4 linked regions of the Lepisosteus oculatus genome follow. The protein of the gene in region 2 interacts with the protein of the main gene of each other region in a pairwise test. Links are inferred from orthologs where the notes say so. Each region holds a gene or a part of one and is shown on either strand. Other genes may lie near its edges. The genes, in order: mxi1, max, mxd3 and plekhf2.

Evidence for each region.
Region 1: the proteins of max (region 2) and mxi1 interact in binary tests that used the Homo sapiens proteins (3 or more experiments, as listed by UniProt). The link is inferred for Lepisosteus oculatus from reciprocal best matches to the Homo sapiens genes MAX and MXI1.
Region 3: the proteins of max (region 2) and mxd3 interact in a two-hybrid assay, tested with the Homo sapiens proteins (4 studies listed by BioGRID). The link is inferred for Lepisosteus oculatus from reciprocal best matches to the Homo sapiens genes MAX and MXD3.
Region 4: the proteins of max (region 2) and plekhf2 interact in binary tests that used the Homo sapiens proteins (3 or more experiments, as listed by UniProt). The two-hybrid records come from large-scale screens. The link is inferred for Lepisosteus oculatus from reciprocal best matches to the Homo sapiens genes MAX and PLEKHF2.

Annotation. Positions count from the first base shown.
Region 1 is NC_090699.1:39,856,280-39,863,893, forward strand, and holds the start of mxi1 (max-interacting protein 1), read right to left. Parts: upstream 3,002-7,614; 5' UTR 2,847-3,001; coding exon 2,621-2,846; intron 1-2,620. UniProt on the Homo sapiens protein: Transcriptional repressor. MXI1 binds with MAX to form a sequence-specific DNA-binding protein complex which recognizes the core sequence 5'-CAC[GA]TG-3'. MXI1 thus antagonizes MYC transcriptional activity by competing for MAX.
Region 2 is NC_090703.1:15,579,000-15,586,439, forward strand, and holds the start of max (protein max), read right to left. Parts: upstream 3,004-7,440; 5' UTR 2,874-3,003; coding exon 2,838-2,873; intron 2,568-2,837; coding exon 2,541-2,567; intron 1-2,540. UniProt on the Homo sapiens protein: Transcription regulator. Forms a sequence-specific DNA-binding protein complex with MYC or MAD which recognizes the core sequence 5'-CAC[GA]TG-3'. The MYC:MAX complex is a transcriptional activator, whereas the MAD:MAX complex is a repressor.
Region 3 is NC_090706.1:38,087,208-38,094,246, reverse strand, and holds the start of mxd3 (max dimerization protein 3), read right to left. Parts: upstream 3,018-7,039; 5' UTR 2,879-3,017; coding exon 2,809-2,878; intron 2,065-2,808; coding exon 1,965-2,064; intron 1,208-1,964; coding exon 1,178-1,207; intron 404-1,177; coding exon 289-403; intron 50-288; coding exon 1-49. Other genes in the region: lateral signaling target protein 2 homolog, read right to left, coding at 4,443-4,565, 5,181-5,284, 6,611-6,724. UniProt on the Homo sapiens protein: Transcriptional repressor. Binds with MAX to form a sequence-specific DNA-binding protein complex which recognizes the core sequence 5'-CAC[GA]TG-3'.
Region 4 is NC_090705.1:16,735,821-16,743,773, forward strand, and holds the start of plekhf2 (pleckstrin homology domain-containing family F member 2), read right to left. Parts: upstream 3,005-7,953; 5' UTR 2,841-3,004; intron 1-2,840. UniProt on the Homo sapiens protein: May play a role in early endosome fusion upstream of RAB5, hence regulating receptor trafficking and fluid-phase transport. Enhances cellular sensitivity to TNF-induced apoptosis.

The sequences.
Region 1 (7,614 bases), on a different chromosome or scaffold from region 2:
ATGTTTGAACTCGCAAACCCCACAGTGCGTTTGTACTGATGATGCATAGTGGCCTTTTAATCATCGCAGGTCATTTAGAACTTGAGGAGCTTAGACTTGAGGATTTAGCCGATTTTACTGCTGTCCTACTTAAGTTTATTGTTGATACACAGATGACAGTCACTTTTCTTAAAATATTTTCGGTGGGTTTAAAAAAATGCGATATGCATCTCAGAGAGGCCGAGCCATATGCTTGCTTATACATTAAGTATCTTCAGCACATAAGACTGGAGACGAAGTCATCCTGTTTATCTTGCTCATTCAGTTGCTAATTGATCAGAGCAACCCAGTCTTCAGAAAAACAAGCTCAATACTTCCTTGATGCCAGATGTATCTGATTTTACTTTCACAGCTTAATTTCTACCCATATATCCTCTATCTTCACCCTTCTGTTGAGAAAACCAGTATTGGTATTGACTTCTATGGCGTATATATTGTTAAAAACATATTGATGAAAAAAACTTTATAATGCACGTACCCAAGATGCACTTGCAATTCAATTTAAAAGGTTTATCAGCAGTATGTCTAAACTCTAGAGGTGTTCTAAGGTTCTCGTGATTTACCTGTTAATAATGCCACAATTACACCGTTCTGACTTCCCTATTCCCTAATACGGTACATATATTTTTCTTTAAAATCAGAGCAGGTTGTTCCAAGCCTACATATCCCATAAATCCATGCTTTGAACACGTTTTCCAGCCACAAGAGGCCAGGCCCAGCAACACATGACGTCAATAAGGAAGAGGAATTTGACTGGATGCCTACGTCAGTAAGTACGGCCACGGACCTCTCGCTGGACCAATCACAAGGGGCGAGTTTGTATCCATGTGGAAACCATGTGAGACACCAGCTAACACCAGGAAGCAGAATAAATTGCCGCAGGAATAATACGATATTAAAATGGCTTCATGGAGTTGATTGAAGGCTATTGTTTTGGTTACTTATGAATTATTTGGTTATGTGCTGCGTTCTTACTTCTTCCAATATAATTAGATACGCACATAAAACAAAATTAAATGTTTAATTCTGTAACTTTAAATTCTTTAACTCGATTGTTGGTTTGTATGTTTGGTGGTTATCTTAAACACGCTCAACTTATTGGAAATATAGAAAAAAATAAAATAGATGAATTACGTAATCTTTGGGGGAGGGTGGTTACGGAGATATTCCCTTTTAAGTATGTAAAGTACAACCACAGTGCTATCTTTAGGACTTTTCATCTGAAATGTTCAGAATACTGCATTGTGTAGAAATCCGTAAGACGCATAAATGACGACATCAGTTAAGGATGACAGATATTAATAGCAACAGGATACAAAATTATTTGCGTGAGATTGTAAAACTCGGTCTGATTAGTGTAATTTCGCGTAGGCATACAAAATCAAATGCTTACATCCTATATCAACGCACACCGATTTCAAGTGCATTTAGGAAGCTACGAAACCTACGGCCTTATGTAGTCTGTGAAGGAGCTTCATGTTTCAACCTGAGCGTAATGCTCCTCATGAAACACTTTATTCCGCTTTTATAACGAGGCTTCCTTGTATAGGCCGGCGTTTGTTGTATTATTGATGTTTACAAATATTAAATAAGAATTGCTATTATTAGTATTGTATAGTACAATTCAGCGTACTACTACTCTATTAAATTCCAATTGCGTACAGTCTCTTCTTGCTAGTCCAGCAGCATAATTACTGTATGTAAGCATAATCCAATGCCAAGGATAAAGATTTTCTTAGTAAGAGGTTTCTTCTTAAAAATGATTGAGTTAGCATTTTTTAAGGGGTACGATGTACCACTAGTGAAAGAATACGTTTTCCTTTAGTCAACTCAAACGTGTGGTTCTGGAAAACGTCTTTCTCCGTAGCAGACACGCTATACCATTCAAAAGCCAGTGCCTTACAATTCTTTCTGGCGCATGAACGTTATTGAATTAGTCACCGTCTGCTTGTTTTGCAGAGTGTTATTCATTCTCAAGTTTATTGGGGCGTTGCATCGCAGAACAATAACTCTATTTAAAACATACGAAACTCCCGAACTCAATTTATTCACAGTATCTGCTTGCCACTTTGAAAAATTATGATGATTTGATCTCATTACATTTAACTTGGGAGATTCTCCATGTGTAGCAAAAAGCTATTTTTTATGTTCTTTGTCCTGTATACATGTCTAAAGTTTTTATTAAAATGCACATTTAGTTAATAAATATTCCTTTTAAATCTGTAATCCAGTACGTATACTTTAGGATAAATATAGTGGTCTTTCTGTTTGAAGTGCCAACTTTTTCACTCCACATTTCTTTAAATAGTCTTTGCAGCGTGGATGCACTATATATACACAGTAGAACTTCAAAAATCAGGAAAAGAGTTCTTTAGACGCGTATTTATAAAACATTTTAATTCTAGATTATTTAAAAATGTGAAGAAAATCTTATAACACTGCGTGGTTCACATCTAGTTGTAAGTAGTTCTCTGCTCAACTGAAGTCCTTTGTTGTCTGAGTCGACTGGTATCATGACAATTCAGTTTTCCTAAAACCTTTCCGACAATTTAAAGTCCCCTTTCCAGACACAAACACTTACTTCCATTTTTCTTCTCGTTATTTTCTATGTAACTTGCTGCCTCCAGCAAAACTTGCACATTTTTCAGAAAAGTGTCGATCTGGTCCATAGCAGAATCGTTGGAGCGAAATATGTCGAAAGGACAGCTAGACATCTCGCTGAAATCTTGCTGATCCATTGATGTCTCGGATTCCAGAAACACATCGTCAGGTTTAAGCTCTCTCTTTTGCCTTTCACTTCTAACCATCTTGATTTTGCTTTAAGGGAAATCGCTGCTGCTTGAAAGTAAATCTTTGGTCAGCTATTCTGTTGTGCGGCTTCTTTAGAAGGCGATCAATGAATGAAAGGTGAAATCTATGGATGGCGTCTCCAGTCGCTGCCTTCTAGGTCCCTGTGCCTGAAGAATACAACGATCCACGTTGTAATCCACTAGCCTAAACTCCTCCCATAGGCGCACTGAAGTCAAGCATTGGCGCCTTGAAATGTCATTTAACCGCCCTCTTCACGGCGTGTTGATCTGACGAAGCCAGCTTGAGAACCTGAGTCGAATATTATCTACTGCTACAGGGCACCCAGCAGCTCGAAGCTGCTTTTCACGTTGTAAATCGATTGTTCCTGTCAGCACCACCTAATATGTGCTAAGTCAATAAAACTAACCTACGGTGTATAGAGAGACACTTTGAAAAGAATAGTGAAAGGATCAAAATAATAGATGCCCATTCCTCCCTGCCCCTGAACACAGACTCAAAATTATACATTTGTGACCTAACACATTTGTTCACCGTTTCCACTCCGGACCGCACTTTCCTCTGGTTAAGTCAACCTTTAACCCCACTTCTTACAGAACTAAAATAACAATGGTATTTCCCCCTTATACGGCGATCTTCATTTACACACAATGTTGCCAGACCAAGCCTTACACTTTGGAAAACATTTCAAATTTATCTGATTCCCCTGCAGATTTAATCTTCTGCCAGATGCATTTCTTATACAATACACCAGAACAGTTGAAAGTAAAAAAAAAAATACAAGACCTGGTGCTAAATTTCCCGTCTTTCTTTTCTCTGTTAAGGAATATGCGTGTAAAATAAATATTATTACAAACTACAGATGTGGAAAGCTACAATAACCGTTTCTAGGATTTTTATACAGTATCACCGTCTGCGAAATCAATTAAACTTTTAGCACTTCAATGGCAGCCTTGAGTCTGTAATTTCTACTAAAAATACGTCCCTCACTCTTAACCGTCTACGTTACCTGCTCACCTTAGCTTACCGTGTATAGGTATTAGATTCCTTTGTGACTCCAGGAGGGCAGGCAATATTGTATGTGATGATAGAGTAACCCTTTACACTGATAGCTCTGGACTGCTGCTGTTTCCACAGGTTGAAACACAGCAGGTGAACAGAGGTTATCGTTGCTCACTGTCCCCTTTTAAAATGTATTGAGAGGTGATGATTCTCACCTAATTTGCACTCTTTTCACTCGATTAGGCCTATTTCTAAAACAGCCGTTTAACGACACGTTCTCGCAATTTCGCGATATTGTCATGTAAATGACATGTCGATGACAATGTTGTTAATGACAATAATGTAATTTTTCTTCGCTTCTGACACAGTACAACGTGGTTTTTGAAAACACGTTAAAAGAGTCTGTAGCGACATTTTTAGCCGTATGATCAAGAACGCTGATACCAAATGCTTTAAGTTACCGAGTCTAACTGAATATGTAATGTTTTCACTTTTAATCTTCCCCTTTCTTTATTTTGCTAACTGTGTGATTTGAGTTGGTCATTTTATTAATTTAATCTATGGTGCCGATGCAAGTTTGTTTACTTGTAAACAAATCTAAGGTTTTCTAACGACATTTAAATAAAAGATTCAAAGAGTTTGCATCTTAACAAGGTGTGCACAAAACCAAGCCCAAAATAAAATATCTTTAACTCCTGTTTAAAATTAGGAAAAGCGGGAAAGACATGATTTGCCTGACGAAAACCAGGAAAACAAAAAGAAAGAGCGGATTGATCCGCACGGGCCATTTCCAAAGGCCTCTTGACTTTCTCAGCAGGGCGAGGTTTTTACTCATTCAAGGGCAGAGAAAAATGGCTCAGTCCCTTTATGTTCTATGCCACTTCAAAGGCTCTTCTACAAGCTGCTGCTATTTGATGTAAAGTTCATAGAAAGCTTGGAAGTTCAATAAACAGAAAGATCATTGACATATTTTCCTACACCAGAAAAAAATCGAGATTCAGATGATAGAAAAGTAAGGTATTGTAAACCTCATGCCTTAACTCATGCACTGACCAAACACGATCCTTCTCAAGACTTTGGAGTTAGTTAGGGCACAGGGAGGTTTTGCCATCCCAACAAGCTCAATTTCCAGCTGTATCTTGTTTCCAGCTGCAACATTTCAAATGGATGTTGCCTCTTTGTTCATAACAACTAGACTAAGTGTAATTAAGAGATCCTGGCAAGCAGTTCAAAACCCAGCCTTTCCCAGTCCTAGGAAATCACTGAGCACCTGTGCTACACAAATGTTTTGGATAACCATCCCAAAGGATCTTTATTTAATCTTCACAGTTTCTTCACAGATCACAGATTGAAACATTTTAAATCAGGTGTATTTTAGCTGTAAAAGCTGTAGTATTTCCTACTCTATTGTTGTGCTGAATTAAAATAAATACTAGAACAAACTCTCAAAGGTTCTTTTGAGGATCATTTGAAATGTTCCTGAATGACTAGATTCCTTATATATAATGACATGGTGCTGAAGAAAAAGAGAAGAAATTCTTTAAATTTGTAAGGTCTAGTTCAATAGTTTTGTATTATTTATGAGTACGTGGTTATTAACTGAGAGTTTGCAGGGGATGTTTTGTCACTGCAAATACCAATAAAACAGCCAGAGACGTCCCCCAACATGCTCGATTGGAATAACTTCAGAGGTGTTGACCTCTCACTACATGATTGAATCCCACCATGCTATTTATGACATGGTTCCTTTTCTACTACCCTCTATAACAACATTTCAAAACTGTTTCATTCATCCATTTCACCAGAACAAACAATACCATAAAACTATAGCTCATCCTCTAAGAAGAGAGAAGACTAAATAAAAAGGGTTATTTTCAAAGCAATTAGGATATTTCCTATGTAGGTAACATGATATTCTGTTTTTTTACCAAACATACAGTGATCATTTACTTCATCACATGATTCTGTTTTCAAAGTTTTAAAATTTATTTTATTTATACATACAAAATAATTCAAGATGTAACTTAATTCACACACAGCTGAGCACTAATTCATCAAAATGTATACATTCTTCTCTAATGAAGAAAAAACACAGACTATAACAAACACAAATGGTAAACAAAAACAATATCACTATATGTTACTCAAGGCAATATTTGTATTGCAGCAACACTTTAAAGAGATTTCAGAGCTTGTCATATTAATTTCAGCTTTAATGTTCATTTCATTTTTTGATATAAACAACAACTAATATGGCTGGCAAAAAAGTAATATAAGGAAAAACAAACTAAGTTCCAATTAAACATTCAAATCAAATATCAAAATTAGATGTATTGATTTAATATACAGTATAATAACTTCACAATAGCATTTAGTAATGTTGATTTGATTAAATACAGTAAGACAATGGCTTGTCTTTAGCAGAGCTCACTGGGGCAAAATTATGAAGACGTGAAGACAATGTGTTTTTATTAAAAAATGAAAATACATTTTTCTTTTCAAAGAGGGAAATTTTAATGTATGCACCCTTTAGGTATTTGAAACTGAGGTATGAGCTATGGACTTTCACATTACTCATAGTTTGCTCCCTGATATGCTGTCATTTAACTTAGAAATATCAGAAGTGTTGAATGTACAGAATGGACAGTGGAATTTTAGACTAGCAAACCATTCATTGTATTTAAGGCTTCAAATTTAAAGACTGATAACATTCAAGTTAAACAATCATGCAAAGTATGTCATTGCAATGTTATCTGCCCCAAAAAGACAAATCACATTTATTTTAATACACAGTGTTAACACAAAAACATTAGAATGGAAGTTATATTTGTTAGAGAAGGCAATTCTTGTACTACTAAGGGTTTGCTCCTCTGCATATCTACAAATTAAATTTTTGTGTATGATTTCTGGTATTGAGTGGTAATTCAAGGATATTCTGATAACTGTAGTGGTTTTTATGAATATATAAACCACAGTGTCTCCCAAATATATAATGACCATTCTAACTCACAGCACACTTCCTATTTAACTGCATTTTGTTGCCAGGTGTTGAATGGTCTAATGTAAAACAGAAGCCAGTAAAATGTAACTGACACTCTGGTCTCTTTGAGGAAATATGCATGTGTATTATGCCTGTTTTGATAAACAAATTGTTTTGAGGTTTTTTTTTTCCAAAAGAGCTAAGTTTTCGTGTTTTTTTTACCACTCTGAATGCTGAATTTTTCAAACGAAACCATGTTTCAATGAACCCTTTGTAATTGAAAGGTTCTAGTGACATTTATTAAAATGGGTTTCCTTTCAAATGGAAAACTGCAGTTGTTTCAATTCCATCTAACTTAAACGCTTATTCTAAATGTTCTTATTCTGAATGTGTAATACTCCAAGTAACAATGTTTAATCTAAATATGAAACATTATATGACAAAATACTGTTTGTCTACAAACTAGTGACTCAAGAATTCTGTTAAGCAGGTGTGTTGGTGACAATAATTCCTCACATATACTATAATTCTGATGCTGCAAATAATTCAAAGAGCATTTAGGAGATAGGATATTTAAATACTCCATTGTGCATTTTCCAGTAAAGTATAACATGTGTTATTGTTGCAGTTCTGTTATCAGGAAATGTAAAAAAAAAACCCGCTAGAATTCTAAATTCTGCATTCTACATGACCCATGCTCTGAATGGACAGTGCAGCATGTATTACTCATAGTGAGAAATAAATGATTTAGCTGAGGTTAGAGCAGAAAAGACTAAATGAAATGG
Region 2 (7,440 bases):
TGTTGGAAATATGATGTGGTAGTGACCTGAATAACCTCATTTCACAGACACAACTCTTTATTCCATATGATTGATACCTTGGCTTAACATTTAGCTAACTAATCAATAGGTCCAACATTCCCTTGGGTCAACACCTTCCTCCAATGTTTCTAGACCACTATAATGGTTTTAACATTTCTACTTTTGTCAGTGTGACCACTTTCCTTTATGACTGCAGCACCTGTAGCAATTATATTCCACGATTACTCTTTAACCTGAATCTACTGAATTGATAAATCCTGATTCACATGGACAAATATATCTTGAGAAGGGGCGTTTGAAGGGCATACTAACTTTATTCCATCGTTATGTTCATATTTAATGCTTAATATCAAGGTCTTCAAAATATACTTAAACAAAATCACGTTATGAACTTCTGTATCCTTACGAGTCAGGTAACTGTTCTGAACTTGGGTCTGGTTGCTAGACAAAGCTGTCTCCTAACAATTCCATCGGCTAGAGTAAAACAATTTTTTTTTTACTATATTCTACCATTCTAGTTCCTGAAGTTCCATATTAGGTTAGGTGCCTCAATTCCACAACTTTTCTGTCACATTTCTTAGTTTAACTCATTCATTTTTGGCCCTTTTCTCCTAATCTGCCTTTTTTGAGCAGCTACCTTCCACATTTAGTTACTATACTACCAAATACAATCATCCTTTAACAACTTAAGTACCTATTACAGAACTACAGTGCTTTCATGAATCTATATAATTGCACTTACTGCTTGCATTTAATTAATTTCTTTGTTGAACCCAATAGTAATTCAGATTTCCTTTAAAAACCTCTTAATAAAAGAATCAGAATCAGAAGAATGTCTATTTAACAGGACAACTCAAGGGGTACGTGAATGAGGACTCTCCAATGCTTTTATTTTCACATGCTGACCCTCAATCAACTTGAGAGTGAATCCCTAAATGAGCACTCTGTGCATAAGTTTTAAACTATTTGGTTTATAGGTGAACAAATACCAAATCACATTTCCTTGAGAGAAATGGTAAAGCAGACTACATCACAACAATGGAATAATAAGTTTTTTTAATGTCATTTAGAAAATCAAATTGTAGCCTTATTCTATTCTAAAATATACCTTAGAATGTGACACAATCTAAGGCATAATAAGCAAAGCAGGCTTTATATAGTATTTTAAAATGTATAATAACACTAATTCTGAATTTAAGATTTTTTTATCGTTTCACAAAAAACATAAGCAGAGACCGGAAGAGCAACTTGTTATGTGTATTTTTACTATCGTTTTCAGTGTGTAATTGTGTTCTTGAATTTACAGAGTTAGTGCTAACCATATCCTCTCTTTTCCTATTAAGTGTATTACGCATGCGTTTTATGCCATTTAAAAAACACTTGTAAATAAAATGCACTGACAGAATGGAAGAGGGAACGTGCAAATGTAAACTGTAGGTACACAAAATGGCACGAACAGACTGCAATGTAATCCCCGGTCTTTTAAAGACAAATCGTAGTACACCGATTTAAACATCAAAGTGACTGCACAGACACGTCAAATAATACAACAGCAACCGATCGTTTATTGCGCCGTCAATGTGAAACGGTGTTGAACACCAACGCAACTGAAGCACCTTTAACTTGCCCTGAACACCTTGTATTTCTGCTGGCCACTTCGTTTTTTTATGCCTATCATCTTTAATATTTTTTTTGCTGAAGGTTAAATATCCTCTATTAATCCCCTCCAAAGATCGTAACCTGCATTCCAATTAAGCACTATTTAAAGCAGTATCTACCGGTGCACCGAGATAATGGATTGCTAAACCGAGTATTTAAATTCAAGCAGAAAAAAAGGTATTCCCTAAGAAAATATTTAATTATACGTTGTCGATCTCTTCGGTATGTGCAGCTTAACTATTCCATTAAAGCAGGAAACGTAGCTGCTGAACAGTAGCCTGATGTGCTTTTCGGGTTTTGAAAACAGCCTAATCTGATCTTCACGAAACGAAATGTTATGGTCGGTTCCTACTCATCGAAGCACAGGCAGATCCAGTTCAATCTGTGTATCTGACCTTTTTCCTTCTGATGTTTAAAGCGATCTTGAGCCAAAAACGGTGAAGAAACAGGCAATTTTCGTCTAGGCTAAAAATGGTACGCGCTGTGTCTTGTGGGTTGGGGATTACCCTTTGATGCGTAGAAAAATATTTCACTGTAAATTGGAGTTAAGCAAAACGGGCGTTAAGCAAAACAACGTGAGTTTTTATTTCTACGTCGTTGATTCAAACTCTTCTACGTTTTATTTTTTCATAGGCTTGTGCGGTGGCCTAGTAGGAGTAGCTGTACAACAAGGATGGTTCTCTAATCAGGCTGCTCTTCCGTCACCGATGTAGGTGTCCCCTGCAATTCAGGATCGCTGTCTCTACAGCCAACTCCTCTTTTCCTCTTACCCACCCGGAAATTATACTGAAATGTCAATGCAGTAGCAATTTTCATTTTAAAAAGTCTAAGCGTGATAAAACGTTCCGTATATTACGCACCACAGAGTGAAATCTCGGTGATTCTTCCTGTAAAAAAAACAAAACAGAAAAGTACAATTGTATAATTGTGAGTTAAGTGATAGCTTTAACTCCTACATATGTTGCTTGTATGTAAAAATAGACTCCTTTTTCGATATGCTTTAAAGCCGAAACCGCGGAACGTCTCATTCAGTACTGCTAGTCTCTTCCTAGAACTCTACCAACCAGCAGTCCGACAGCAGCTCAAAATTCAGAAAAACACAAGGCGTTTTAATTCTAAATATTTAATATTCTTCGAAATATCTATCTTCCACTTACGTCACTATCGACCTCGATGTCATCGTTGTCGCTCATTCTTCGATAAAATATTTGATCTAATTAAGAAAAAGCTAAAAAAAATAAAATCAAGTACAAACCGAAACGAACAAACAAGCGAATCTCACTGCAGGGACGAAACGAGATCAACGGACTCTCCACACGTGACTCGCCTACACACGGACATTTACACACCGTGACACGCATGTGCGACAGCGCTTGGAATGCTGGGAAATGTGTTTTTCGAATAACAAAGCCTCTTTCCGTAATACACAAACATTACTTACTGGACTACATGACCCATACTCCCCGCAAATGGGCGCTTCCAAGGGACGTAAAACATGGACTTACCTTTGCAGAAGGCGAGTGGGATGTGTAGTTTACTCAAAAAAATGAAATCGAGGGGCCATGATAGAGACACGTGGATGGCCATTTGCAAGCCAAGTTCTAGCTTGCTTGTCAAAATGCTGTGGGTGATGGCGGTCGTCCATTAGTAACGTGTTGCATAATACTTTTTGTTGATAATTATAGTGCTATTGCTGTCATCCATTCAAGACAGCTTACCTGATACTATGTGTAAGTCATATTTGGGGAAGTCCCAAATATATATATATATTTTTTTGTGGGTTATAATTCACATGATTGTAGATGGGCATCTAAATATGCCTGTGAAATAAATTATATTATTTAAAATTATAATTTCTAAAATTACATATAAGTTAGATTTTCATTGTAGGTGGGAACATGACTTGTTGGAATTAAATACAGAAATTTCTATCTTGAAAAAGTGACAGAATAAAACAAAGGGTAAGAGGAGTATTGAAATCTCTTGGCACCAGAGAATACACTGGACATAAAATGGCATCAGATGCACTCCATAATAAAGTGAAAGGAAATGACAATATATAAAGAAGGGCATGAGATCAATTATGCTGGCCTTTACCCCATCATGGCCTCCTAATAATCCCCCTCTATGAATTGGCTACATTACTCTGCTCTCCTCCCCACTGATAGCTGATGTGTGGTGAGCGTTCTGGCGCACTATGGCTGCCGTCGCATCATCCAGGTGGATGCTGCACATTGGTGGTGGTGGAGGGGAGTCCCCATTACCTGTAAAGCGCTTTGAGTGGAGTGTCCAGAAAAGCGCTATATAAGTGTAAGCAATTATTATTATTAATTATTATTATTATTAATTAGAAGTAGAAAACCCACCTGCCCACGCATTTTAAAACCAACAGGCCTTTGCTGGGGATTTGTACACTGTATGAACAGGAGGCTTCTAGCAAAAAAAGGTTGCCATCAAAGTAATGCTTTGGAACTTGCATACAGTCACATATATTGAATCTGGATCTGATCCAAGCCAGTGTTTAAAAACAACAGCAACAACAATAATAATAATAAAAATAAATGCCATTACTTTCAGCTTTTTAAATTTTGTAGGACAACTTCTCAGTCCTCGAAATCAAACTCCAGTGTCAGGCAAAAAGCAAGAACATACATTTTAAATATTAAAATAAAGTGGTGCTGGACCAGGAAGAGCAAATCGTACTGTATATAAAAGGGATCTAGGTGTTTATTATGGCTCATCACTTTTTCCAGCTAAACAGTACAAGGGACACTCCATTCAAAGCACTTTTACAGGTAACGGAGGCTCTTGTTCAACACCACCAATCTGTAGCGTCCACCTGGATGATGCGATAGCAGCCAGAGTGCACCAGTGCACTCACCACACATTAATTGGTAAAGACCAGGGGGAAATTTGGCCAGGGTGCCAGGGTAACACCACTACTCCTCTCAAGACACTCCCTGGGATTTTTAAGAGTCAGTTTTACGTTTTATGCAAACGAAAGTGCCTTTTTCCTGTATAGTGTCCCCCTGCTGGAGCATTAGGACCCAGACAGACTGCAGGGTGAATGTTCCCTAGCGGCCCCACTAACACCTCTTCCAGCTGCAAGCTTAGCTTTCCCAGGTACTGGCCAGGCTCACAGGTGCTTCACTTCAGGGGTTGCCAGTTGTGAGGTGCAGGGTGAAATAGCTATGGCTATGTTAAAATTATACAGTGCCTGTACCTCATCTGGAATATTGTGTGCAGTTTTGGTTAGCACGTCACAAGAAAGCCATTACAGCTCTAGAGGGCAACCAGACTAATCCCCTGTCAAAAGGGAATGCTGTACTGACAGATTAAGGGAAGTGAATGATTTTAGACTAGAACAGAGAAGATTATGAGGGGAATGGTTACAGTTAGTCAAAAACCTGAAAGTCATTCAACAAGTCAGCTCAGGGGACATCTTCAAGGTCATTGATGACAGAAAACACGAAGCAATTCACTACATAGAGAACGTGCTTTCAAGTCGTGATGTTGAAGCTGATTCAATAGGTTTCTTTAAGAGAGGGAGAAATAGAATTCTTAGATCATTAAGCTAAAAGTAACTGAAAGGACAAGATGGGCATCCTGTCATTTGTAAACTTTCAGTCACCTGTCTCTGTAAGATCATTCAGCCAGGCACTGAATTTCAAGCAAAGATTCAAACATGAAGATCACGGAGCTTTCAAATGAATTCAGAGATAGAGTTGCATTGAGGCACTGATCTGGAGAAGGGTATAACACAGTTCAAACACACTTAATTCTCTTTGAGGTTGGTGAGGTTAATCGTTAAGAAGTGGAAGGCAACCGGCTACCAAACCGAGCACCCGGGAAAGGAGGAAACATGTTTGTCTTGGTCACTCAACTTACTGGGCTAGCAAACTGAAAGAGAAAACATCTCAAATCCTGCATGGTGTTTTCAACAGCACCTAATTCATACTGCAAACATGTGGTAAAAGGCTTTGTAGTCAGACAAGAACGTTGTGGTCTAAACACAAAGTGTTAAATCTGGTGCAAACCCAACATAATGCATCACTCAGTCAAAACCATCCCTGCTGACAAGAATGGTGCTGGCAGCATTTTGTTATAGTTCTGCTTATCAACAGGGACTGGGAAGCTTATTGAGAGAGATGGGAATATAGATGGAGCAAAATGCTAGTAAACTTCAGAGGAAAACCTACTTCAGAGCCAAAAATTCGCCTTTCACCAGGACAATGATCCAAAACACAAGCCCAAAGCTACACTGGAGTGTCTTAAAAATAAGATTGTGAATGTTCTTGAGTGGCTCAGTCAAACACCTCACCTTTATCCTATCGAAAATCTGTGCAAAGACTTGAAAACTGCTGTCCATGAGCAATGCCCACACAACTTGAGACAGCTTTTAAAAATCTGCATAGAAGAATAGGCAAAACCTTAACTGAAACTGCAATATAATTATGACCTAATTCATGTGTACTGTATGGCATTTTGTGGATAATTTTGATTTAAGAACCTTATTCAAGGGTATAACATCAGCAGTGTCCAACACAAGATGTAATCCCTTGATACTTCAGTCCAGAGACCTAACCCTTCCTCCATGTTTCTTTCCGAATAAGAAGAATCAAGGGACAGGAACTAAAAATGACTGTAAACCTCTGTAATTAATTACTATTTCACTTATAATGGTTTTATGCTTAGCTTTTAAGAAAAAGGAGAATTTCTGTGTGTCTATCAATAAACATAAATGTGTTTCTTGTGGTAAATACCATCAGACTTGGGCTTCTTCAATAAATTAGAGCAAAATACTAAAAAAACAAATATTCCAAGAGATTTGTAGCTTGATAAGAAGATTATAGAGTAGATTGTAGGGGTGGAAGGTGGCATCAATAAAGCCCAGTGCAAATACACACAAAATCCTCTCAGTTAGCTGTGCAAAAATATATTATACTCCACCAGTTGTTTTTACAAAGTGAGAGTTTTGCAAAATAGTTATCCCAGCCCACTCATTTTTGGGTCTTTCAGTGCAAGCCAACTCACAAAGAGTTTCCAGAGGATTTCAAGACGAAAACAGTAGGGGCTTAATGATTCATCATGGCATCCCACTTTGTTATGTGATATGCAGTTTCACAGAATGAATATGTAATGCAATGCAGGTACTGTAATAACCATGTCTTCTACTTAAACATTTGATGCCCATACAGTGTGTTGTCTTCCTTTCACTTATCAAATGGATCACTGAGTTTCCAAAAAAGCTAAGCTTTTAAGCATTTGAAAAAAATTAAAAGCTCAAAGTGAGGGAGCATGAAACACTGACAGACAAATCTTTAATGAATGGACTAATGACTAATACACATTGTTAACTGGTCATAATCCCTTGAAGTAAATAAATAAACTTTGAAGGCAAGTTTGTTAAGGAGTATGTTATATATATATAACATATTTTGAGGGATAACTACAGTTTTATGTTTTCAGAACGATGATGTAAGATTTCCCTTAATGGTATAGCAGTTTCTCAAGAGTTTCAACACCCAACAACCCTCTGGAACGCCCTGTATCGTACTACTGATATTACTTGAACGAATAACATGAGATGTCTGGAGCTATGGATATTTTTCATATCCTTTTTCTTGTTTCTGTGTTAAGCATGCTTTTTCATTCTCTACCACAGAAAGCTCAATAGAATTTATAAAGTCATTTGTGTCATTTAGCAGAAGGTGTGAAATCACTATGACTGAATGCCGTGGGAGAGAAAACCTTTATTTC
Region 3 (7,039 bases), on a different chromosome or scaffold from region 2:
GCAGGCGGTCCTTCAGCCTCTCCGCCTGCTCATCCTGCTCCTGCAGCTTCTGGAAGGGATGCCAGCGCACAAGCGGGCAGTCACCACCGGGGGTCCCAGCGCACGAAACGGAGCACGCACAAACACACTCATGCGGGCACTCGTGCAGAAACAGGGTGGGCAGCAATACCAGGGGCCCCCGAATTCAGGGGGACAAATCCCACAGACGGGAGGGGGGTCTCTCCCCGACGGCCCATCGCAGTCACGAGCACACACACGCGGTCTGGAGCGCCCGCGGCCGCCTCTCACCTTGATGTGCACCCGGGCCCGGCGCAGCAGGTTCAGCGTGGTGTTCCGCACCGAGTCCGAGGACAGCGGCACCTGCTCCTTCAGGAGGTCCAGGCAGTGGCGCAGCTGGGCCCGCCTGTGCCCCACGGGACCAGGGCGAGAAAAGAGGGGGGGGGGGAGAGAGATCGTGATGTTTTCAGCAGGGAAATGTACTTTCCGTCAGCCGGAGATTCAGCAGAAGAAAGACCCCTTCTGTTACGCGTTGGTATGGAGAAATGTTTAGCGTCCTGCCCCGCGAAAGGCTTAGCGCGGTTCTGAAGGGGAACGGAAGGCCTTTCCTTGCTCTTCTAGATTCTGACAGAACTGCTCCCCCGAGGGACGGAGGGAGGTCATGCTGGATGGGGAGGGAGGTGGATTTGGAGAGGCGGGACGGATGTCACCAGAGCCTTAGAAGGGATTTGGAGACTGGAGATGTGTTTCTGTGTCTGTATCTTTCTGATTTCTTTGTTCTTTTACTCTGCGCCTGCCCCTTGATGACTGCATGCGAGCGATGCTGGACACGAATACCATTAAAAGGGATGAAAGAACGTGCACGACTCCCAGCTGCGCTTAGTGAGCTGAGTCTCGGCCCCGAGGCGCTTGGCCGGAGAGGGCAGCCGGGCTGCCTGTCTGGACTCCCGGGGGGAACTCGGCGTTCTCCAGGGCCGCTGGCGAAACCGCGTGGAAAACAATCCCAGATCAGAGCACAGGGCCTGAGCCCTAATTCCAGGCCCATTCGCAAATTCTGCTTGCACTGTGTTGTGGGCTCAGTGATCTTTTCGCCCTTTCTTTACAGTGCCAGCCAAATAAAACGGGGATTTAAGAGCTGTAGTAGAGAGGTCCAAGGAAGAAAATAAATAAAACATTTTACCTGTGCTTTTCCAGCTCGTTGTGCACTGATCTATGGGGGAGAAAAAAAGCACAGGTCAATCAAACTACCTTAAGAAAAGCAAAAGGGTCTGCTGTATAACTAAACCACAATTCAATCAACACGACTTTGGGAATTATCTAAAATGCTAATATTGGGAACTCTTGAGGCCACTGAAAAAAGTATTATTCCTCCTCTCGTGAGAAGTGTCTGATGGGGTGTATTTTTTTTTTTAAAAAAGCAGACAAGATTATGTGCGATGCTTTAAACACAACGACAACGCATATTTTAAGTACATGACAATTTTCCATTTCGAATCGGAAGCATCAACCCACGTTACCACAGGCCTGAAATTAAGATTTATTCAAGCCTGTGCTTCTGCAGCCCTTAACTGCAGGAAATTAGTGCAAGTCTAACCGCACGTCTTGAGCGCTCAGGAATAATGTTTATCACAGGAGCACGGTGACACCCGAGTAGATTTCCCGTCTTCTTCACAAAACGATATTTCTGGGAACCCTTTGACAAAATCCTGAAGTTTGAGTTGGGATTAGAGAGGGCGAAATCAACCGCAAGACCTTTAGTACTGTAAATCTTTACTTTATTTGTAACACAGCAAACCTATTAACAACCGAGTAAGCGCACCACGCCCAAACTCGGGTTAACTAGAAACGTAAACACGGTAATCAAAACTACAGTAACAGTTCCCGAATCGCTTGTCCGATACAATATTTTTGGGGGGAATAATAATTTCACTTGAAAGCAGCGCGCTTTTGGACAAGAGGCGCCTTACCTGACGTTGTCCGGATTCTTCCTGGTTTTGGGTTTGTGTCTCTTGTCCGACAGCCCTCTGCTAGTCAAAGGCTGCAGCGATGCATAGCCGTGCTCTGCTTCTAAAAAAAAAACAAAAAACAACAAGCCGGGGTCACAATCTCTTTGTCTGTCCCCACCAGACAGGGTTAGAGACAGGCTGGGCTGCGCTCCACCGGAGCCGCCTTTCGCATTGACGAGCATTACCCACCAGACAAACACGTCTGAAAAGGGGAGATATTCCCACACGCTGAACTGTAACTCGGAAAAGTAACATTGCTGCTGCACCCAATTCCTCATCTCCGCGCGTTTCTGCGGGTTTGATGCAGCCTTGTCGACGACAGTGACAGGTCCCCCTCCCAACCAGCCGGCGATCAAAACACAGACGGTCTTTTTTGGCGCCACGGTCAGCGCTAATCTTGGGATGCCGCACACACACACACAAAAAAAACCGAGCTGATTTTCAGGCGATTTCAGGCTCAAGCATCGGAGAGAAGGAGCTACCCTCCTCCCCGGTGCAGGGCTGCGTCGATGAAATCCAGCTCCGGGCTCGTCTCGGTTTTTGAACCAGTGACGGCTTGGCGCCTTTGCGCAATAACAATATTGTATAACATAATATTTGGGTCAGCCAGGGGGACGGGCTCAGCGCGAAGGCCAGCCGAAACTGGATCTCGGCGGACGCAAACAGCTGCACCTCGATACGATCTGCATTTTGCACGGAACCCCCCCACCACACAAAAACAAAAACAGGAGAATAGTTCAGACGCAGCAGTCCTGTCTGAGCTGCAAGCCAAAAGAGAAAGTATCCGAGCTGGGAGCTAACTTACCTCTTTCTCGCCTGTCCAAGTACTCCGCGGCCTGCAGCAGCACATGGATGTTACAGTTATTATTTTCCATTTTTCCCCCCACCCCTTGCTTTTAAAGGCCGTGCAAACTGGAAAGATGGGTGCAGCTATTCCTCCTACCAACCCCACTAATTCCGTGCCGAAGGGGTGCAAAGTGCTACCGAAGGTGCCTTGTTTAAGGCTGACGTCACCTTCCCCCGCCTCCCTAGACGTTAGGGCGCGCCCTTGCAACGTCGACAGCCACAGAAACACGCCCCCTGAGCGCCGTCGGAAGGAGAACAGTGCCATCTTTGTTGTGGCGTAAACTTAAAAATACTTCATTTTTACCCACCGCCTTTAAGCCCTCCGACCACCATCGTGTTGTGCACATCCAAACTGGCCTCGGCGCTGAATCTAGGCTGCAGGGGCAGTTCAGGGTGGGGTAAAAGGATCATCACAGCCTTCATCTTTCACTTCCCCTGCATCGACTTCAGTAATCGATAGAGCAAAAGTATAGCTCCAAACTTTGAAGGTGTTCGCCACATTTGGTCAGATCAATGAACGGATATGTCAATCTCAAAATATAGCCCTTTCTCGGGCAGGAGTGGGAAATAATTCAGCCGGTACTTCGGGGAAAAAAAGTAAAGTCGTTCAGCATTTAATTCTGCCGCATTCAACATGGACGTCTGCGTGTGACATTGGCGTTTGACCAACACGTTGATTTTCATTGGCCAGTGGGCGACAAGGACCGCCCCCACAGCGCGGTGTTGTAGCCGGATTGGCGGTCGGGAAGGGAACGTGACGTCTTGCAGAGATGGTTTAAAAATACAAGCAGGCGGGAACAGGCGGAAGAGTTTGAAAATTCAAAAAGGTAGAGAAAACGAGGGAAAGTGGTCCTTTGCGTGAAAGGACTGCCTTTCTAAGTCCAACTTTCTGAAACGCAGCAGACGTCTTCCGGCATTTGCACTGAATTACGCTGTGTAATACTGCGACGAGGACGGAATCATTGGAGATGGTTTTCTCGTTGCTAAATCTTACTTTAGTTTCACTACTGGTAAATTATGAAATTACATAAAACCACAGGGAGCACAGACCCGTGCTGCAGATTAGGTTGTTAAACATTTCAAATTTATTGTCGAGAGGAACTCCATTAGACTTTTTTTTTACAAAAACATTTTTAAAAAAAATTCTACCCATTATGTAATTAAATACAATTTTCACGTTTTAATGAAGTTTGCAACTTAACTAGAAATTCCCTGAAATTACTACATCATGGTGCAAAAGGGGTTTCTCTCAATACTTGAAAGCATAAATCCAGAATTTCACAATGTGCAGAGCTAGAAGAAAAATAACCTTTCTTGCTGAAGAGCAGATGCATTTCTGGAACAGTGATAGCCACAGGAGCCTTAGGAACTACAGATCTACAAAACTCTTGGGAAAATCTAAGGGAAATACATACAAAGGCTAACTTAAAATTCTGTAGAGAGTATACAGAAAAAAAAAAGATTAGTTGTGACTCAGTCTGCAGTCATTGGCCAAGCACACTACCGAACACCCAGCTTTTTCCCCCCACAGAACCAAACCCTCCAGATCACCCCCACCCCACCCAAATCAAGTCCGTTTTCCGTCCACTCCTCTCAAAGCGGCGTGGTTTCTCCCACGATGTGGAAATCGTAGCAGTGGTTGCACACGCGCACCGGCTTCATCTGTCCGAAGCGAGGCAGCGGGGCCTCGTGGGGGGAGCAGCGCGCACAGAAGATCTGAAACGAGCAGGAGAGGCCAGGCCATCGACTTCGTCCTCTGCTGGAGGAGGCAGGATTATCCGGTGCGGGGTCGCGGGGGAGCAAGGCAGGGTACAGCCCATTTGGGACACCAGGACACACGCACACGCACACGCACACGCACACGCACACGCACACGCACACGCACACGCACACGCACACGCACACGCACACGCACACGCACACGCACACGCACACCAGTGGGACTTTGTATTTGTGTGGGTTTCCTCTCGCAGTCCAAACACTCCATGCAGGTAGCGGCCCTGGTCCGGAATTGAACCCAGGATCCCCAGAACTGCAAGGCAGCAGCCCTAACCCCGCTCTGCCATCCTCTAACGATAACACTTCTTCTAAGTGAACCAATTTTTTTTCCCCAGAAAAAAAAAATCAAATCATGCCATTTCGTTCTGCCTCCCCAGGATCAAAAACATGCAACACGGAAAACGAACAGATCCTCACTCACTCCAAAAGCCAGCAAGCAGGTTCGGATCTGGGTTAGGCTGGCGAAGCTTTAGCAGAGCCGCGTAAACGAAGCGTTTAGCACGCCCCTTGAGCGGCGCCCAGCAGGCCGCAACCCTCGGTCCTGGTGCCTACCTTCCCACAGCTCCGGCAGTGGTGCCGCCGGCGCAGGATGGTGAACGGGGCTTGGCAGGCTGTGCAGTGGTCACAGGCGCTGTCGGGCACCCAGACGGGCGGTCCTGCCAGGGAAGAGACGGCTTGTGAGTTTCCCCCCCCCATACTGTATGTGACGGGGCTGGTGCACTGAACCCATCTCTGAAACCTAGATGGTGTGGACCTCTGTGGCAGAGTCTCTTGGCAGGTCTGTGCTTGGATCCCACAAAAGACCTGGGCCAAATCCCAGCAGGGGCAGAGAGAGCTGCATTTTCAAGAGCTGACCTTAAGCCCCACAGCCCACTCTTCTCCTCCTCCTGCTGCTGCTGCTGCTGCTCTGGACTTTCACCCTTCAGCCTCAGTGTGGTTTGACGGGTCAGAGCACACTTGACTCCTCCGGGAAGTTATCATGGAAAGTGAAAACCACCATCTAGATGTGACATGCAAGGTAAAATGCTAAACGTCGGGTACAACAGACCAAGCCTTGGCACACGGGAACTGTAGCATCCCGAAGAGCAACTCAGGAGGTTGGGAAAGACCATTTGCAAGGTATCCTTTCTACCCATAGATTTGAATTTGCTGCCTCACGGTACAATAAAGAGAGGCCCTTGCTATGAAAAGTTGATAACATTACTCCTATCCTTGAGTCCTTGCACTGGCTTCCTGTCAACAACGCATGATAATTAAGTCTTACATTTTAAGAGACCCCTTCAGTACTGTATTATAAGGAACCCGAGTTATACAGTACCTCTGGGTTAATGTCATTTATTAACTTGGTTGAGGCTTTTATGGAAATAACCTTACTTTTATGCCTATTAATATAGCAATTAATCGTTTTGCTCAAATGTACAACAGCATTACCTCACCTAGGATTTGAGTCCTCAACATCCCCTTTACAAATCCACTACTTGATACATGGGGCTTTTAATAGACTACAACAACATGTGTATAGGACTTAATTCCTAAGAGTATACAGTACCATGTTGCACTCAAGCATTAGCTGCTCATATCCCATTGGAATCTAAGCCATCATTTTATACAGGTGCCGTTCTGGAAACTGCCCTCCCCTCTCAAAAAAAAAAACTTAGGTAGCTCAAACCAAACACCAGGAGTCACATTTCTGTGGTAGTAACATTATATCCGAAGATGGCTACATCTGTAATACGTCTTATGTTTCATTTCATGTTAATACAAAAAAATCCTGGCCTAATACTGCCTTTATATACGCGTGCATAAACAGAATGTACACAAGAACACAGGCATATACAAAAAGTATGCAGTTTTAATTTAAGAGAACTTGAATGACCAAATCTGCAAGTGCCCTGAAAAACAAGAAGTAGGTCAGTTTACCTTAAATATCCATGTCTAACAGCTATGCGCCCTGTCAGGTTTAGACCCCCCTAATCCCTTACCTCCTATATTGCCCATGTCTGAAACTCCGGCGTTCAGATCGTCACACAATTCACATTCCTCTGGGCCAGGATCGGGACCTTCCTCCAGCTGCTGGTCTTCCTCCTCTCCCTCTGCTGCGAGACAGGAGAGAACGCACTCTCCTTAGATCCGTCACTCTCCGCTTGGCTCACTCGGAGCCTGGAGCGGCCAGGATGCTAAATTAATTCAGGGCAAAAACGGGACTCGAGACTCTGGCACATTCGTCTAATTGACGGAGGCTTCAATAGCTTTAATCACATTTTGCGAAGAGGAATGCACCAAGAAGGGAATTTACTAGGCTGCAAAAAGCAAGAGGTTTGTGACTTTGATCTAAATTTAGTCACCAAATGGTGACAATCTGTGCTTGTTTAAATAAAACACATAGCAGGCATCTACAATTTCCTATCCTA
Region 4 (7,953 bases), on a different chromosome or scaffold from region 2:
ATTTTATTAACAAATGCCTCTCTACTGTGGCTCCCTGTTGAGGTTTCTATTAAGAGACATACAGTCGTTTTTTAACTGCACTACTGAAAATCACAGCATTAAATTAGCATGTAAAAATGTTTCCCCTTTCAAAACAATCCAGTGAAGCAGGTAAAGAATCTTGACCCTTCTTAAAAATTTTACTGTGACCAGATCTTTTCAGGGACACCAGACAGTACAATTGTACACCTTCTCATTGCAATTAATTAGTCAACCCAAATGCTGTTAAACAGCCCACACTGTTTCAGGTTTAGTGGTGGCTGGTGAGCTGGTGGGTATCTAAGGTTTCAGGACTACAACTGCTCTGAAGAAACTCACCGTTCCACAAATCTACACGAAAGCATCGGTAGGTTCTATTTAGAAATATGTCAGAATGATTAAATTATCAATATTTATGATATATTCAAACAATTTTCTTTATTTCTGGATCCTCCTTTAAACCTGCATAAACAATAACTAAATATTTTTACTGTCAATAAAAGTCTATTTTTTTAGCAAATGAAAGGTAAAGTGCCTCTTTTACATCCAGTAAACAACATACAGAAAATACTGATGGGAACATATATTTACATTTTAGAAACGTGTACAAAGATCTAAAAAAGTCCATACTCGTATGTAAGACCAGGTGTGAGAGAAAAAAAAGCCTTATAGACACTTAAAACTTTAAAATGTAATTGCAGTCTTGAACCACCTAAGCCTGAAAAGGATTATACAGTAGTAGCAGAATTTCCCCATCTTTTGAGCAATTAACCAACATGCCTTTTTAAAATTTTCAGTGTCCTATCACAGTTTTCATCTCAGTTTGACCTGTAAAATTTGCCAACAGTTTATCATTAATTTGTTTCCTTTGCATTTCTGTGTTCTTCCAGATTTCAAGAGAGTCTTGACTCCATAGGGCAACATTCAAACTCTTAACATGCTAATTACTGTAGGTCCTGCTGTACAAGCAGGGCATGAATGTACACTGTCAGCAAAACGTATCATCCCATCACCTCATCGGGACAGTGCCTGGCTAGACTAAAGATTTCATTTTCAACGCCCCCTCTCGTTTGTAACCTGTCTTGGGTTCTGAACAGGATATCGATAACAGATGTTCTATACATTAGTTTCACATGCTCATATCAACTGAAAAAAGAAACAACCACCATCCTATTAGTATAGAAATGTGCATTGAAAACTGCCTGTGCACACAAGGGGAAAAGTCAGCTATAAACCTTTTTACATCTCAAATAATTCCGTTAAGACACTGCACAAACATAAAAGTACCCCAAACATGCTAATTATGACAAGCTTAACTGCCCATAAATTAGAATAAGCTTTGATGTGCGAGTCATAAGCATTATTTTAGGGGAAGTTTTAAAAAAAATGGTGAAAGATGGTCGATGAATTATATGAGAGGACTCTCAATATATCCACCTTAACACCACGATACTGATGAGAAAACTGATTCCCACAGGTGCCTGCCTCATCAGAATGTTTTAAAGTGTCTCGGTAAGATTTGTTTTGTTTTTTTTTACAGAAAACCTATCTACGCTAAGTTAGACATGGCTCAATACGTATGCTTCACATAAATAATGCAAAAGAGCGGCTGAAGGAGGGCTCTGGTTAATGTTTACCACCACCAATCAAAACTTCTCATTGAAATCGTCATCCTCTGCATATCTTTTCAATCCTTACCCTAGTCCAATATACTGTATAACGCACATTTGAATCCTTCACCGGGGTCCTTGATGTTAAGACGCGTGGCGAGTGTAGCAGTGTAGATACAGTACCAACACCATACCACGTCCAACACATACCGGCTGTTTTAAAACGCGCTGGACAGCCAGACCAAACTCCATCACGAGTTACATTTGAAGACACGGTCTGAAGTCCGGCTCTGCTCGGGAAGAGGCAGAAAGCGCGCTTCCACAGAGCAGGGGGCGTAAGGTCCGGAGAGTGTGCTTTTGAACTCTTACTAGCCCAGGAGGTCTCACGGTACAGATCCAGACCCAGTCGAGCGGGTCATATCGACAATATCCCGAGAGGAGACGCGGTGCTGCGCGTTTTTAACTCTGCTCACGGCGATCACACCGCGGACACCCCGTCCGGGTCAGGAGCGCAAGCAGTTTTGTGGAGACGAGCCTCCTTCCATCCAGACGAAGGGACACTCCTCGGAAAGGCGTGCTAAATCTCTGGTGACAGGACAGGGACGGGCTCACACGACACGTTTTTGTTTTGTTTTGTTTTCGGACAACGCTAGACAGAGAATTTTTAAAACCACCGACAGAACTGTCGGCTGATTTTTCGAGCAAAGCCACTATCCTGGGAGGCTGACACGGGATCGCCACTTGTCCCTGTCAAAGATACCGGGCTGATCCCCGAATGATTCACAGACACATGTGGAAATACTGACCGATCACCTCGGTCCCAATCTCACCCCCACCCAGCCTTCGTGAATGGTGTTCGATTTCGCCACTTTAAAGCACTGCATCCATTTCCAGCTTTTCAAGTCTCCAGTTTCTTTCACTCAAGTTCGCAGCCCGCGACTCTGTAACTTGACTCCCCTCGGCCGATTAATCCAACACAATAAGCACCCAAACCGAAAAGGAAACATCAGCAACTTCGTTTTCAATTTCACTGCCTTACCCCACCTCCCTCTCTCCCTCCCCCCCTTCACTGTCACATTTCCAAGTGTCGCTGGTTGTAGTGAAGTTTAGGAAGAAAATGACTTGAGAAGTTCAAAACCCCTACTTTCGCAAGCGCAACGCTAGAAACCAGCGCGCACACACGCACACTGAGCAAGAACAAATCAAACTCACCTACCCAATTTAAGCTTCTGGCTGAAACTTCCAAGCCACTTGTTACTCCTTCCGTTGATACAGACTAAACTCGCTGTCTGATGCCCCCCTACCTCCACCTCGCTTCTTTCCCAGGAGCTAGTTTAGCACTTCACGGGCAATAACAACATGGCTCCCGCAGCGGCGGCCGCCGTGACGTCACCGCGCACGCAGCGTGCGCGCAGCAGGAAGGCTGGGATGTGACTGCGCGTTCACGTTTTGAAGAAGGCTGAGACGAGCGGGAATTTCTGGCTGGAGGGTGTTGCCATTTTTTTCCGTCATTTTTGTTTCAATGTATTTTCCATGTGGTGTTTTCTTTTTTATTTGGGGAGGGCATACCCGGCCACACTGGTGGTGTGACTATGACTAAATCGCGCGTGCCTTGTTTCAAGTCAGCGCTCCCCTGACCCCTGGTGAAAAAAAAAAACAGTTCAGCGTTTTCGGAAGGGAAACGTTATCTGGCCTTATTAAAACATATATGTGTTCTGTAAACATCTTTTACAGAACTGAAAAGACTGGCCTTCAGATTGCCGGTAGTAAATGGACTTATGACATTGCATGATCTGCACATTGCTACAACGATTAATCTTTGAAATAGCTTAAGGTTCATATCTGTTTTTCTTTACATTATTCTCTTGGAAACAATTTGATCCAGGCGTCTTCCGCTTAACATATGTGCTGCTAGTAATGAACTGTAATAATGAGCCGAAATGTCAAATACATACAGCAGATAATAATAGAAAAACGAATTTCTTAAAACGTCACATCTGGACATCATTTAACTGGATGAATTATAAAAGTGTTTTTCGAATAAAAAAACATCGTTTAACGTCAACTATGCATAAAATAGAAATAAAGTTGGTGTTTGTTTTTCCAATAAGCACTGAAACAGCACTGAAAACTAAACAAAACTGGAGACTTGGTATCTCACTACCTAGGGAGCCTGGAACATGTTGCTTATGATCCCTTTGTGTTTTGGAATTCATAGTGTGATATAGTTTTTCTGCACAGAGAACATATGGTTTATATTTAATCTGTTATGTAATTCTGTCCCATATATGCCTCTCTACTAAGTCCACAACATCTAGAGCCTCTCTACTAAGTGCACAAACAGCATTGCCGGCTCATGTGAAACCCAACAGACAACTTGAAGCCATATTATAAGCCTGGAAGGCTTTCTTAACTTTTCTCAATATGGTGCCTCGTGAAATGCATTAATATATCCCATGAAAATTAGATAACACAGCCACCTTTACAAACTGGCATACACACCTTTTTTGAACTGTTCCTGCTATTTAACAATCTCATAACATGTGCCACTCATCAATTTGTACATGCAAATGTGGGACTAAAAGCTACTTGTTTATAGTTCGCAGTCATATATACTGTGTAATATACATAGACATTTACTGTATATATATATTCATTTCTATCAAATTACAAATTAGGAGAATTGTAAAAAAATATATCCAGAAAGCCAGGTTTGCTGCTTTCAGGGATAATTCCCTAATTTTAGGGATTTTGTTTTCAGTCGCTATAAATGTTAAAGCAATGAAGCAAATAAGTTAAATACAGTATGTCCACTTGTGGCCAGACAATCTGGAGCAATGTTTTACTAACAATGTACATAGTGTTTTATTACACTGCAGCAACGCAACACTAGAACTGAAGGTATACAGAGTAGGAGCGTGAGGGCAGGAGGTTCAAATTTCTTCAGAACCCCGAGAAAGATGGGGAGCACTCAACCATGAGTGTCCAGTCTGACACACGGTATGCCTTATGTAACCCCTTTTTAAAAAAGTGATCATTATCTTTCAAGAGCAAGATGAAAAGGTTGAAATTAAAAGTCATTTTGAAGAGAGATGGCGGCCCTCTGGGGAGCTTCTGGCGTGACAGCGACACATTGAACAAAATGTTCAAGCGTGCTGCCTGTGCATTCCAATTAAATATCTGGAGAGACGGGTAATTGTTGTGTGTTAAACAGTGCTCCTGCGCGGCCGATGGTTAACGGCGACGGCGCAGTGGAAGAGCTGGACGTGCTCTCACAGGTGTGGGACGTGGAGACAGCAGGTGGGAACGGGTTCCCAGGCCAGTGGGGTTGGGGGGACTTGCAGAGGCGAGTCCAGCGCAGAACTAGTTGCCTGCAGGCTGGCATGGTGCACGACTGTTGAAGCCCCCCCTGAGCGAGCACCTGGAATTCCTGTTACAACACGACTGGACTGCTCCCCGCTGGCCCCTCACAGTCACGCCCCCACAGCTCCACACGGCAACTCACAAGTCTTTTTCTGAGGAAATGTGCATAACTGGCTATGGGGGAAAGTGACAACCCCCACAGCTATCTGGCTGGTAAATGAGAACTCTCTTGAGGTGAGGGCCAGCACAGATACTGAGCACTCCTGTACATTTATGCATACTATTCCAAATCTATGAATAGCCCTAAACCTGACTATCAATTCAGAATCCCCTAACCCGAATCCCAAACCTAACCCTAAAAGTAACCAAAGGCTTTTAAAAAGGAACATATCTAGGCAGGGTACTTACAGTAGTATTGGTTTGTTTTAAAGCACAGTTACAAAACAGAGGAGGTCATTCTTCCCATCCAGTCACAGTTTCAGCATTTCAGAGCAATTTCCACTTGTGCCCTATGGTTCATGTTTCACTGTTCATTCTGAGGATGTCTTGACTTTTTTGTGCCCTTGATAATTTTGGACACCCGTCTCAGGTCCCCTCATAGTCTCCTTTGTTCAGGATTAAAAAAGGTCCAGTTCGTTCAGTCTGTCAGTGTAGGACATTCCCTTAAACCCAATAATCTATCTGGTTGCTCTTCTCTGGACTGATTCCAGAGCAACGATTTCTTTTCGGTAACATGCTGACCACAACTATGCACACTATTCTAAATGAGGTCTTACTAATGCATTACACAAAATTAAAATAACAAACTATCGTTTAAATTCTACGCCTTTGACTAACATTTTTTCTCCTTTTTTACTGCTTCCCCACATTAACTGGAGGATGAGCAGTGTTATACACAGCATCATTGCTCTTCTTCCATAACAGTATAAGATGTGCATTAATAAATGTCATTATAGTAGTGTTGTCTGTTTACTGGTTTGTATGCTACTCCAGACTACATTGAGACCATCTTCTTCAGGCAGCTGTTATTAGTGAATATGTTAGGAGGAATCCCTCTAGTACAGAATAGGTTTTTAATGAGAAGGAGACTACAGCTGCTGACTTTGATGAAGCTGACACTCACTAACATCATACACAGTGTACACATAAGAAAATGCCTCTAATGGTTTCCCAAGGCAATATTTAAAAGTAAATTGCAACAGGTATAAAATAATGCCAAAATATAAGTCTTTTAAAGGCTGTATTGAAGGTCTAAATCAAATATTCTTTTTAGGTTTTACTCTGCAGCTCTTAAATTTTGTCTGTGACACTAAGTTCAGAATTCCTTTTCGCTTGCTTATAAAGTACAGTTATTTTGAGAAAAAAGATTCAAAACAAAAAGTTTATTATTTAAATCATTTGCCACTGAAATGGCATTCCTACTTTTAAAAATGCATGAAATGGAGTTAAAATCAAACCACAGTGTTCCTGTCACATCCTGTCATCGTCAGTGGACTAAAAGACCTGACTCAGTGGGTTCACTCAGTTCAGTATCTGTCCTGGAATACATTAAAAAATACGAGATTCCAATTCCATACTTACAGAGATGAAAGTACTCACCTTTCTGCATTCAATGTGTGAAATAAGGAGAATGGACCTGAATAAACAAATGGTTTAATATTAAAATTAAAGAGGTATAAAGCAATAAATCCACAGACCAACAACTACTCAGCAGAAAGGGATGGGCAAAATCATTTGGGACTTGTGTAACACCCATTCGCTGGAAAGTTGCTAATATAGCACCCATCTATGTAAAGAGTGACAAAACTGAACCATGTAATTAGAGGCTAGTAAGTCTCACTTCTCTTACGTGTAAGATCATAGAAAAAATAATCAGATAGGGAATGGGAAGATGGGAAACACAGAATTTGAAAAAATGATCAATGAAAACCTTATCTGGGGAAGCAATAAAAAGAAAATCGAAAGTTATACTCTTTACATCAAGGAATTAAACTTGTATGGGAGGCATGGTGACACAGTGGACAGCACTGCTCCAACATAGCTCTGGAGTGCTAGGGCCCTGGATTCAATTACGGCCCTGGGGTGCTATCTATATGGAGTTTGTATGTTCTCCACATGTTTGTGTGGATTTCCCCTGGGTGCTCTGGTTTCAAATTCAAACAGCTTTATTGGCGTGACTGGTAAATTACAGTGTTGCCTAAGCATATGCAATCAATACAACATCTATGTACATTACTAATAGAAATACAACATAGTATATTTACATACAACAAATAGAGCATTATTGAGAGACAGGCTCACTGTGCCTCAGGCTGTGACAGGAGATCATGTACTGTGTGGCCGTCTCAACTGAATTCCCTCCCTCCTGTCCCAGTAGGATTGGGAACTCTTCTGATTCTGGCAGGTATGGAAAGTCTGGGATTAGATTTGTTATTTTTGAGAAGAATATTTGTCTGATCCCAGAATATTTGTCACAATGAAATAGAAAGTGCATCTCTGTCTGTTTCTCCCTGCGGGGAGTTGGAACACAGCCTGTCCTCTCTGGGCAGCCAGGTTTGCCTGTGTCGCTCGGTTTTTATGGCTAGATTGTGGTCACTGAACCTGTACTTTGTCTGTTTCTCCTTGCTTTGTCTGTTTCTCCTTGCTGCTTCAGCTAGTGTGTATTTCTGTTGAGGGTTCTGTAGCATTCCAGTTTGTGTTGTGTTTGTGTGTGTGCCCCAGTGGGTAAGGTAGTGTTGTTTGGTTTGTGCTGTGATTTGGTTGATTTTGATTGTTGAAGCTCTGCTTTCCTGAGGCTGATTGGTGTCAATGATATTCAGGACCAGCTGGCTGAGGGGGCTCTTCTCTGGGCTCAGCTAATTGTGTTGTTTTGGTTCAAATTCTGCTTGCTGTTTCTCAGGTTTAATCGATATTTGATTGCTCTCTTTTGCATACTGATAAATAATGGATGTTGGCCTAATTC